Linked DNA regions of Canis lupus familiaris. Each later gene encodes a partner of the first gene's protein in a complex. Links are inferred from orthologs where the notes say so. Each region holds a gene or a part of one and is shown in the gene's direction. Other genes may lie near its edges. The genes, in order: KPNB1 and PTHLH.

What was found.
Region 2: the proteins of KPNB1 (region 1) and PTHLH are in contact, whole or in part, in a crystal structure (PDB 1M5N), measured with the Homo sapiens proteins. The link is inferred for Canis lupus familiaris from reciprocal best matches to the Homo sapiens genes KPNB1 and PTHLH. Residues at the interface, in NP_002256.2 of Homo sapiens: Val55, Tyr104, Pro106, Gln111, Glu152, Tyr156, Gln159, Asn196, Leu199, Asn200, Gln239, Glu274, Gln278, Glu281, Asp288, Ile295, Ser298, Glu299, Asp339, Asp340, Trp342, Val350, Met353, Glu395, Trp430, Arg434, Glu437, Asn469, Trp472; in NP_945316.1 of Homo sapiens: Tyr103, Thr105, Gln106, Glu107, Thr108, Asn109, Lys110, Val111, Glu112, Thr113, Tyr114, Lys120, Thr121, Pro122, Gly123, Lys124, Lys125, Lys126, Lys127, Lys129.

The regions. Positions count from the first base shown.
Region 1 is NC_049230.1:23,964,501-23,968,318, forward strand, and holds part of KPNB1 (importin subunit beta-1), read left to right. Parts: intron 1-484; coding exon 485-574; intron 575-932; coding exon 933-1,043; intron 1,044-1,833; coding exon 1,834-1,935; intron 1,936-3,728; coding exon 3,729-3,818.
Region 2 is NC_049248.1:26,878,544-26,882,919, reverse strand, and holds the start of PTHLH (parathyroid hormone-related protein), read left to right. Parts: upstream 1-1,500; 5' UTR 1,501-1,732; intron 1,733-4,376. UniProt on the Homo sapiens protein: Neuroendocrine peptide which is a critical regulator of cellular and organ growth, development, migration, differentiation and survival and of epithelial calcium ion transport.

The DNA.
Region 1 (3,818 bases):
AAGGTTTGACTAATACTGTTCTTCATAAAAGAGAGGAAAATTGTACTTAGTTAACATAATGGAAGTTACGTCCTCTGAAAAGATTTAAGGAAGAAATGGTTTTTGATCACCCTTGCTACTTAATTGCTGTAAGTTATACAAGTGATTGTTTTTCATTGTAGCCATTGGAATAGGTTTACTGTTGCTGTACTTAAACCTGGATCCTCCAAACAGATGGGACTAACATCTAGTCTGAATAGCATTCCTGAGTTTAGCCCTCCACAGGTTCCAGAGGCACCTTTAAAGAGAAAAGAAAAATAAACAAGGATGGTGAAAAAAATTTTAAGAGATTAATTTTAAAGAAATGTTGACATAACCCAAATGTACCTCAGTTGGCCCTTTAGATTACTGACCCATTTGTGTGATGTAGTTCTCTTTGTCAGACTACATTATTAATCCTTTTTTATTTTATTTATTTTTATTTTTTTATTTTTTTTTGTAAAAGGTACGAGTGGCTGCCTTACAGAATCTGGTAAAGATAATGTCATTGTATTATCAGTATATGGAGACGTATATGGGTCCTGCTCTTTTTGCTGTAAGTATTTCTATTTTATGTATGTTAGCATGTAGCTAGTTGCAAAGCCCATCATTCTTGATGTTTTGTCATTTCTGTAATTTTTTACTTAGTATTACGAAACCAAGGAAATTCCTTGAGTCTGAGTGTTATGTTTAAGCCATCAGTAATGTGCCAAGAAGACTTGGGCTTCCTTTGTGGTGGGGAAGAGTATATTTTTAAAATCTATTTTCTGTTTCTACCTTTCATTCAGACCTAGCTTTCATAAATGTACATTTTTGACACTTGAATGTCTGTGGTTGGAAGTGCAGGTCTAACTTGAACCAGCACTTACTTGGTGTCTGGTATGTCATTTTTTTTTTTTTCTTTCCCTCGAAAGATCACAATTGAAGCAATGAAAAGTGACATTGATGAAGTGGCCCTACAAGGGATAGAATTCTGGTCCAATGTGTGTGATGAGGAAATGGACTTGGCCATTGAGGCTTCCGAGGTGAGCCTGGGAGAGAGTTGGTGCAGCAGGAGAATTATTTGTCTGACATAGCTCCCTTTTGGGTATTCAGCTCCTCTGAGAAAGCTTTATTCTGCATGGGCTTAGAGGGCATCTCCATTTGTAGAGCTTTTGCTTTCTCTGCTAGCCAGAGCCCCTCAGGAGGGAGACAGACCCATAATGAGGCATTTCATGCTTTACGGATCAGTCAGACGTGATTTATTATAAATGTTGATGTTACTACCATGAACACAAGGGGGCAGCAGGCAGTCACAATTTAACAAGGTGACGTCCAACGCTGAGTTATTTCCTTTTGGAAGTCCTCATGCAAGCATGGGATGCATAATTGACAGCTTACTAACTCTGGTGAAGGAATTCATTATAGACAAAGGGGCTAGGTCTGCACTTTGTAATCTTTGAACTCAAGCTTTTTTTCCAGCCTTAACCGTCTTGCACACTTTTAAGAACCAGTTTTATTTTTGGCATCATTACGTAAACTTAGTACATCTCTTGATCCAAAGGTTAGTTAGATGACAGCTTCTTAATATGAATCGAGCTTGTGAAAAAGGAATGTAGTTCTTAAGGTTGCCTTGGTCCTTTAAGGTAGAAGATATGTATGGCCTAAAAGAATCCCATTGAAGTAGACCAAAGAAATGAGCGCCTCCAAAGATCACAGCAAATGTTACATTTGCTCTGTGTATTTCTGTACAAACCCCTGGGCAGCTCTCATTGTATGCCTCTAGTACCAGCCTGTTTGCTGCTGTCCAGAATTTGCTTTTATGTTTCTCCTCAGGCAGCAGAACAAGGACGACCCCCTGAGCACACCAGCAAGTTTTATGCCAAGGGAGCACTACAGTACCTGGTGCCAATCCTCACACAGACACTAACTAAACAGGTGAGTTACCTCACAAATCTAGCCAGGGTAAGCCATGAGATATTATTGAGAGTTAGTTTGCTGTGGAACAATTTCCATGAAGGAACTCAGCAACTCTTTAGCTGGTTCATGTTTTGTTATAGATGACTGGGAAGAGCCGAGCTGGATCTCTTAAGATCCTCTAGGCTCTGGGTTGTTTGCGAAGGAGAGCTGGGTCTGGATGTTTCAGCCTTAGTTGTGAACAAGCTACACACGCTGATTCCTGAGTGCTGTACCATGTCCAAAATAATGCAGGAGACATGTGCTATAAAAGTTGGAGTAAAGAACGGTTAGCAAGAGGTATGTGGTAGTTTTAGGCCACTCAAGTATCTGCTAATATTTGGATTATTTTCAAGAGTTCACAGTACGTATATACATTTAAAATCTTGATGAGGTTAGAGAAGAATTATTCTGGAGGTGCCTGAGTGGCTCAGTCTGTTAAGCATTGAACTCTTGGTTTTTGGCTCCGGTCATGATCTCAGAGTCGTGAGATCAAGCCCGCGTCAGGCTCCATACTTGGTGTGGAACCTGCTTGAGATTACCCCACCCCCACCCCCCGTCCCCCTGCACATGGGTATGCGCTGTCTCAAAAACAAAACCAAACCAAAAAAAAAAAAGAGTTACTCTGATTCTTCTGTGATCGTTAACATCAATGAGATTCAGGACAAAATAAAAATAACAGGACTTCATGAAGATTTGAGTCTAATGGGTAAATATAGAAATTCTTTTATGTGAAGTATATCTTGGTTGTCATTCTCTTTTGACTTTAGGCATCAGAGTTTTCCTTGGTATGGTGTTCGGAAAGATTCTTCGGTATAACAATCTCAAAAGATATAAGTAAAGATGTATTTGGTTTGAAATGGACTGGGTGTCCTCTCATTTTCATATCCTGGTTCAGTTTTACAGTTATTTCTTGTGTCTTTCAATCTCAGTATCTTCACTTTTGTATTGTGGTTTTCGTATTTGGAAACAAATCGTTCTTTAGGTATGTAATATTCTGAAGCGGCATAAGGCAACCTGCTTTTTTTTTTTTTTTTAAAGATTTTATTCATTCATGAGAGAGACAGACAGAGACACAAGGAGAGGGAGAAGCAGGCTCCCCAAGGGGAGCCTGCTGCAGGACTCAATCCCAGGACCCTGGGATAACGACCTGAGCCAAAGGCAGACGCTCAACCACTGAGCCACTCAGGCACCCCAAGGCAGCCTACTTTTGAATTACTAGGTAATACGGGTAGCCACAATAAGGAAGATGAACCTTGAGTTCTAGTTTCAGGGGAGATCTGAATGGAATCTTTTTTTCCGTTTAACTTCCTGTTGAACTGTAATAAGTCACTAGCACACCAGGAGCCAGGAGCCACCTCATGCCTTCATCTTCCTCATTCATTCCCTCCCCTTTACCACCACAGATTATTTTATTGATTTTGGACTTCATAGAACTGGAATCATACAGCATATCTTCCTGTTCTGCCTTTCGCTTTCTATATGTTCAAGTTTCATCCTTCTTGTTGCACATAGTGAACTTGGTCCATCTCGTTGTATAGTACTAAGTAGGACTTGCCTCCGTATGCATCTTACTTACCAAAGGCTATGCTGTGATGAATCTTTGTGGAAGAAATTAAAATATAAGGGTTTTATATTATATTTATATCCCTCAAACTTAAGTTCCAATAACATTTGGGAGTAGTCAGAAGACCTTTTGAGTTAGTAATTCTCTTTTTTTGAATTACAGTGATTATTTGAACATAAATTTAACTAGTGCCAAACTCTCTTGTCAGGATGAGAATGATGATGACGATGACTGGAACCCCTGCAAAGCAGCAGGCGTCTGCCTCATGCTCCTGGCCACCTGCTGTGAAGATGACATT
Region 2 (4,376 bases), on another chromosome or scaffold:
AGAAAAAAATACAAAATCAAAATACACCCAGCCATGACCATATGCAATAGTTTCTTTCCTGTTTGGTTTATTCCTTTGAAGACTGCGCCAAAGAATCAGAGACAAGTTTGAGAAACTGAGACTGCGTCTAGGCTCTCTGATCCTCTTGATGAAGTGCCCAGCCAAATCTGGACAGGGCAGCGACTGGGGAAAGACCCCAAGTTTTATCTTCTCTGGCAGGCAAAGTGTCAAAATTAGTCCCAGACAAAGAACTACGTGAAAACACCAGCATGACATAAATCCCCTCAAGGGATTGAGTTGACCAGGAGCATTAAAGAATTGCAGTCTGAGGCCAGTGATACCTGTACAAACCAATGGATTTGGGTTTCTATAAAGCCAGGGTATTAGGGAAAGACTTGATTACGTGTGGCTTAGTCTGAATTAAAAGGCAAGGCAATTACACAAAAGCTCTCATTTAACTTTTAGGTGGGATTAGGCCCACACTAACTTTATGACACTAGGTTGCTAAAAACAAATGGCAGTTTCTCACATGCCCTAGGAAAGAATTGGGGCTTATATAATTCTTCCCAATTATGAGGCATTGTGCCCATGACAAGTAAATAGAAAGTGCCTAGAACCAAATGTACCCTGTCTTATGGCTTAAACCAAGTGACAAGAGAACATAAGTTTCATTTTTGTTTCTCCACTCACGCAGAAAGGCAGCGTGGTGTCAGGGGGAAAATCTGGTTTTAGTCCTGTCTCTGCTACTGGAGTCTCATGTCTCTTTGGAAAAAAAGAAAATCATGAACTCCTTTTTGTCTCACTTTCCTCGTCTGTCAAGGGGAAGCTGGACTCTAAAACTCTGAGATCTTCAGTATTCTCAGAAATGTAATTATTATGAGTCAAATACAGGAGGTTAACATGACTAAAGAACAATGTAAAGGATAGGGCTGAGGAGATGGCAAGACAACTTGAAAAGTAAGAATCTTCAAACTTCTGATAAAGGCTTCCTTCCCCTTTGTAACCTGAGAGACCTCAGGAAGCTCTCTGGCTCCCAAGGGGAGTGGATTGAGGGTGTGTGCCACGGAAGTTACACAGGCAACTTAAATGTTTTCCCAGAACTCATGGAGAGTCAATGCAGCCCTGCTTGTGGGATGCTGCGGTCTCTCTCACAAATATGTATAACTCTCTTAGTGCATACACAAATATGAAATCCTCGATTTCTCTAGCATCCATAAAAATGCAAGAACTGAGACTGATTCAAAATCAAACCCAGAGTAAACTAATATTTGGTAATCAAGTAGCTCTACCTGGGCTGATACTGATTCTGGTGGGCACTTAAACAGCTTTTGGGTTGCCAGAGACATCTTACCAGGAGTGTATTAAAAAATAAAATAATGCACTGGCTTTGCAGTACGAAAGCAGAGTCCATAAACCACAATATCTCTCTGTGAGGAAATAGACTTCCTGTCTGCTATTTTTTTATGTGCCCAATTAAGTGCAGATTTTTGGCTGCGGGAGCAACATAACTGCAGCATTTTTTCCAGAAAAACCAAGAAATGAACTAAAAAACTAAACAAGAAAAAGTCTTATAAGAAGATGGTCTGATAAGTGCTGGGAGATAATATTTTTTTCTCATTTTATACCTGATATCTTCTAACCTGGATATGACCAACCTCGGGCAGAGCGACTCTAGATCACATTTCTAATGTGCTGGCAGCTTCCCATCCCAGAGGGATTTTCACTGAGTAAGGTGAGTACATTTCAAGGCCTTATATGGAATAAAATAGCAGGGTATTGAGTCAGGATGGGTGGTTCAACGAGTTGGGTGTCTGAGAATTAAAAATCAAAGTTAACCAAGATTCTTTGATGAAAACTCGGGGCTAGATGACTCGGTTCAAAAGAAATAAAAACCTGCCTGAAACCTAATTACCAAAATGAAATTGAACTCGAATATGTGAGGTCTAAAAAGCTTCATGGATGTTAATTTTAGTGCTGAGTTACACGCACCTGGGCATTTCCTGACTTGGGCCAGAGGCGAGAATGCTAGAATTCTGTGAGAAAGGCTATGTAAATCAGCACCAGTAAAGGAACCGAGTTTCACTGATAATTTACTCCCTCAGAGGAACCCAAAAAGCTTTAAGCAAGCTTATGTATGTATGTATGCTCCTCAAATCTCAACAGAAGCTCTAGTGATTTCACCCAGGTCAAGCTTTCTTCTATAAGGAGTCAGAGAGGAAAGTACCTCCGTGCTAGGGTTGAAATCAGCACCAGTTTTGAAGATCTAAACAGTTTGGCAGCACCTAGTGCGAATGTTTCTTTGTTTACTTTGTAGAAGTAAAGGGCAACAACAGTGTTTTTAGGGAGAAGCCCAAACCAGCTGGAAAGAAATATCTCTGCTCTTAGGTTGAGGCTGCGATATCCTTCCCAGAGCACCTCCTCCAGGTAAATAGATTTGATATTTCTAAGCTATTGGCTTCTTTGCTCTGGGTTACCAAATTTCTGAATTTGCATTCGTATCAAGATACAGGATATGTAGAGGTTTAGTTTGCTCGGTCTTTCTGCCCTGAGTGAAAAGTAGATAAGATTTTCTTCTATGCCTCTTTAGATCTACTCCGCAGTCCAGTTTTACCTCAACCAAATACCCCTAAATTTTACTGTAAGCGTGTGCAAACTGTTTAATCTTCTTCCTTTCCTTTTCTTCATCCATTAAATATATCTGGAAATGTATGCTGTATCTACTTTTACACTGATGTGATGATGGCAAATCAGATAATATAGCTAAAAATGATTTAAGAGCCTCCGGAAAAAAATATTATGAGCCTTTACATGTGTAACATTCAGCCTCATAGTAAATCCAAACCACAATTGTTGTTTTCAAAATAAAGATTATAAATAGGGAAGCAAAATAAAAACATGTGCTTCACTGTAGATTGATATGTGAATTCAATGCATTTATAGGTTCAGTTGTTGACTAACGAAGAAGAGAAAAAAAAGCAGCCTAGTATACTAGTTGTGGTGTCAATAGATAGGTTTGTAATCAGTGGGCTCTGGCAATTCTGATAATGTCACTGCATGCTTCTGTGGCAATGTACTCTGTTCTACTTCTGGTCATGTAAAGCAGCAAAGCCCTGGTTTGAATCCTTGTTTGAAATGTAAATGTTATCAAGCTTGAAATGAGCTTGTTAAACTTCGAATCACACCCTCTCAGGAGTCTGCATGCTTTGTGAACCACTACATAGCTGTTCAAAAAGTGCCCTCCTAATGAGGCCAATTCTGACTAATGCATATTCCAAGAATAATACTTGACCAAAATTGAATGCAATTCTCTTGTATTTATTATAATTTTCTATGACAGAGAGCAGAGGCTAAATTCGGTGAAAGTATTGTTTTTCTTCTAAACTTGGGTCTGCCAAAATTTGTTTTTATTTCTACCCCCCACCCCAACTCCTACCCCCAGTCATCCCTTTTGGAATGATGTAGTGATCCTAGCCAATTGGGAAACTTGCTGGCATCTGTGGAGTGCCTGTTTTCACCACTTTCCTTCACCCTTTCAATAGATTTTTGGTATGGAATGGAAATGGAAGAATCATTAACAGCAGCAATGTCAAGAGCAGCCTTGAAATGAGGCATCTGATATCCCATATGTTTAGTATACTTATCACACAGACAATGTAAAAGCCATTTGAGGTCTGTAACTTCCTTTTCTACACAGAAGGAAATGTGGCAGTGAATCAAATTGATACAGGAATTTTAAATATGTGTGGTCGCACAAAGTAAGAGAAGATTATAAATTCAGCATTAGAAACCAAAAGAAAAAAAAATAAGCCACAGGTAGTATTCTCATATTATATTTGTTTGAGCTGTCAGGACAAAATACTAGAAAGAAATATTTTTATGACATGGAAACTAAGATCTGCTTTCCAAAATTATTTTCCACTAACTTAAAGCTATGTATCATTGTGCAAACCTAAAGACTCCTATCCTTACAGAATTAAATATTTATCTTACAACTGGAGAAAGGGCACCTATCTCCAATGTGCAAGCATGCATAGTAGAGGTGGGGTCTAGTCCCTGTAATAATGGCCTGGGAGGCAGGACTCACCTTCCAATCTCCAGGATGACATTGTTTTGCCACAAGTTTATGATTGATTCTGAACCAAAATCCCTCATTTCCTCAGGTACAGGGGAAAAAGGATTCTGTAACAAGGCAGGCTACTCTCGATAACTTTAGTAAGAGTGCTTTATCTTTCCTTTTTTTTTATTCTAAGAGGGTAGTAAAGATGCCAAGTCTCTTTTGTGAATTAAAGGGGATGTGAGGTTTTAGGGAAAAGTGCTTTCAGTGGGATTGACTATATGTCTTCGCAGGTCTCGAGTAGGTTTACTTTAGATTACCT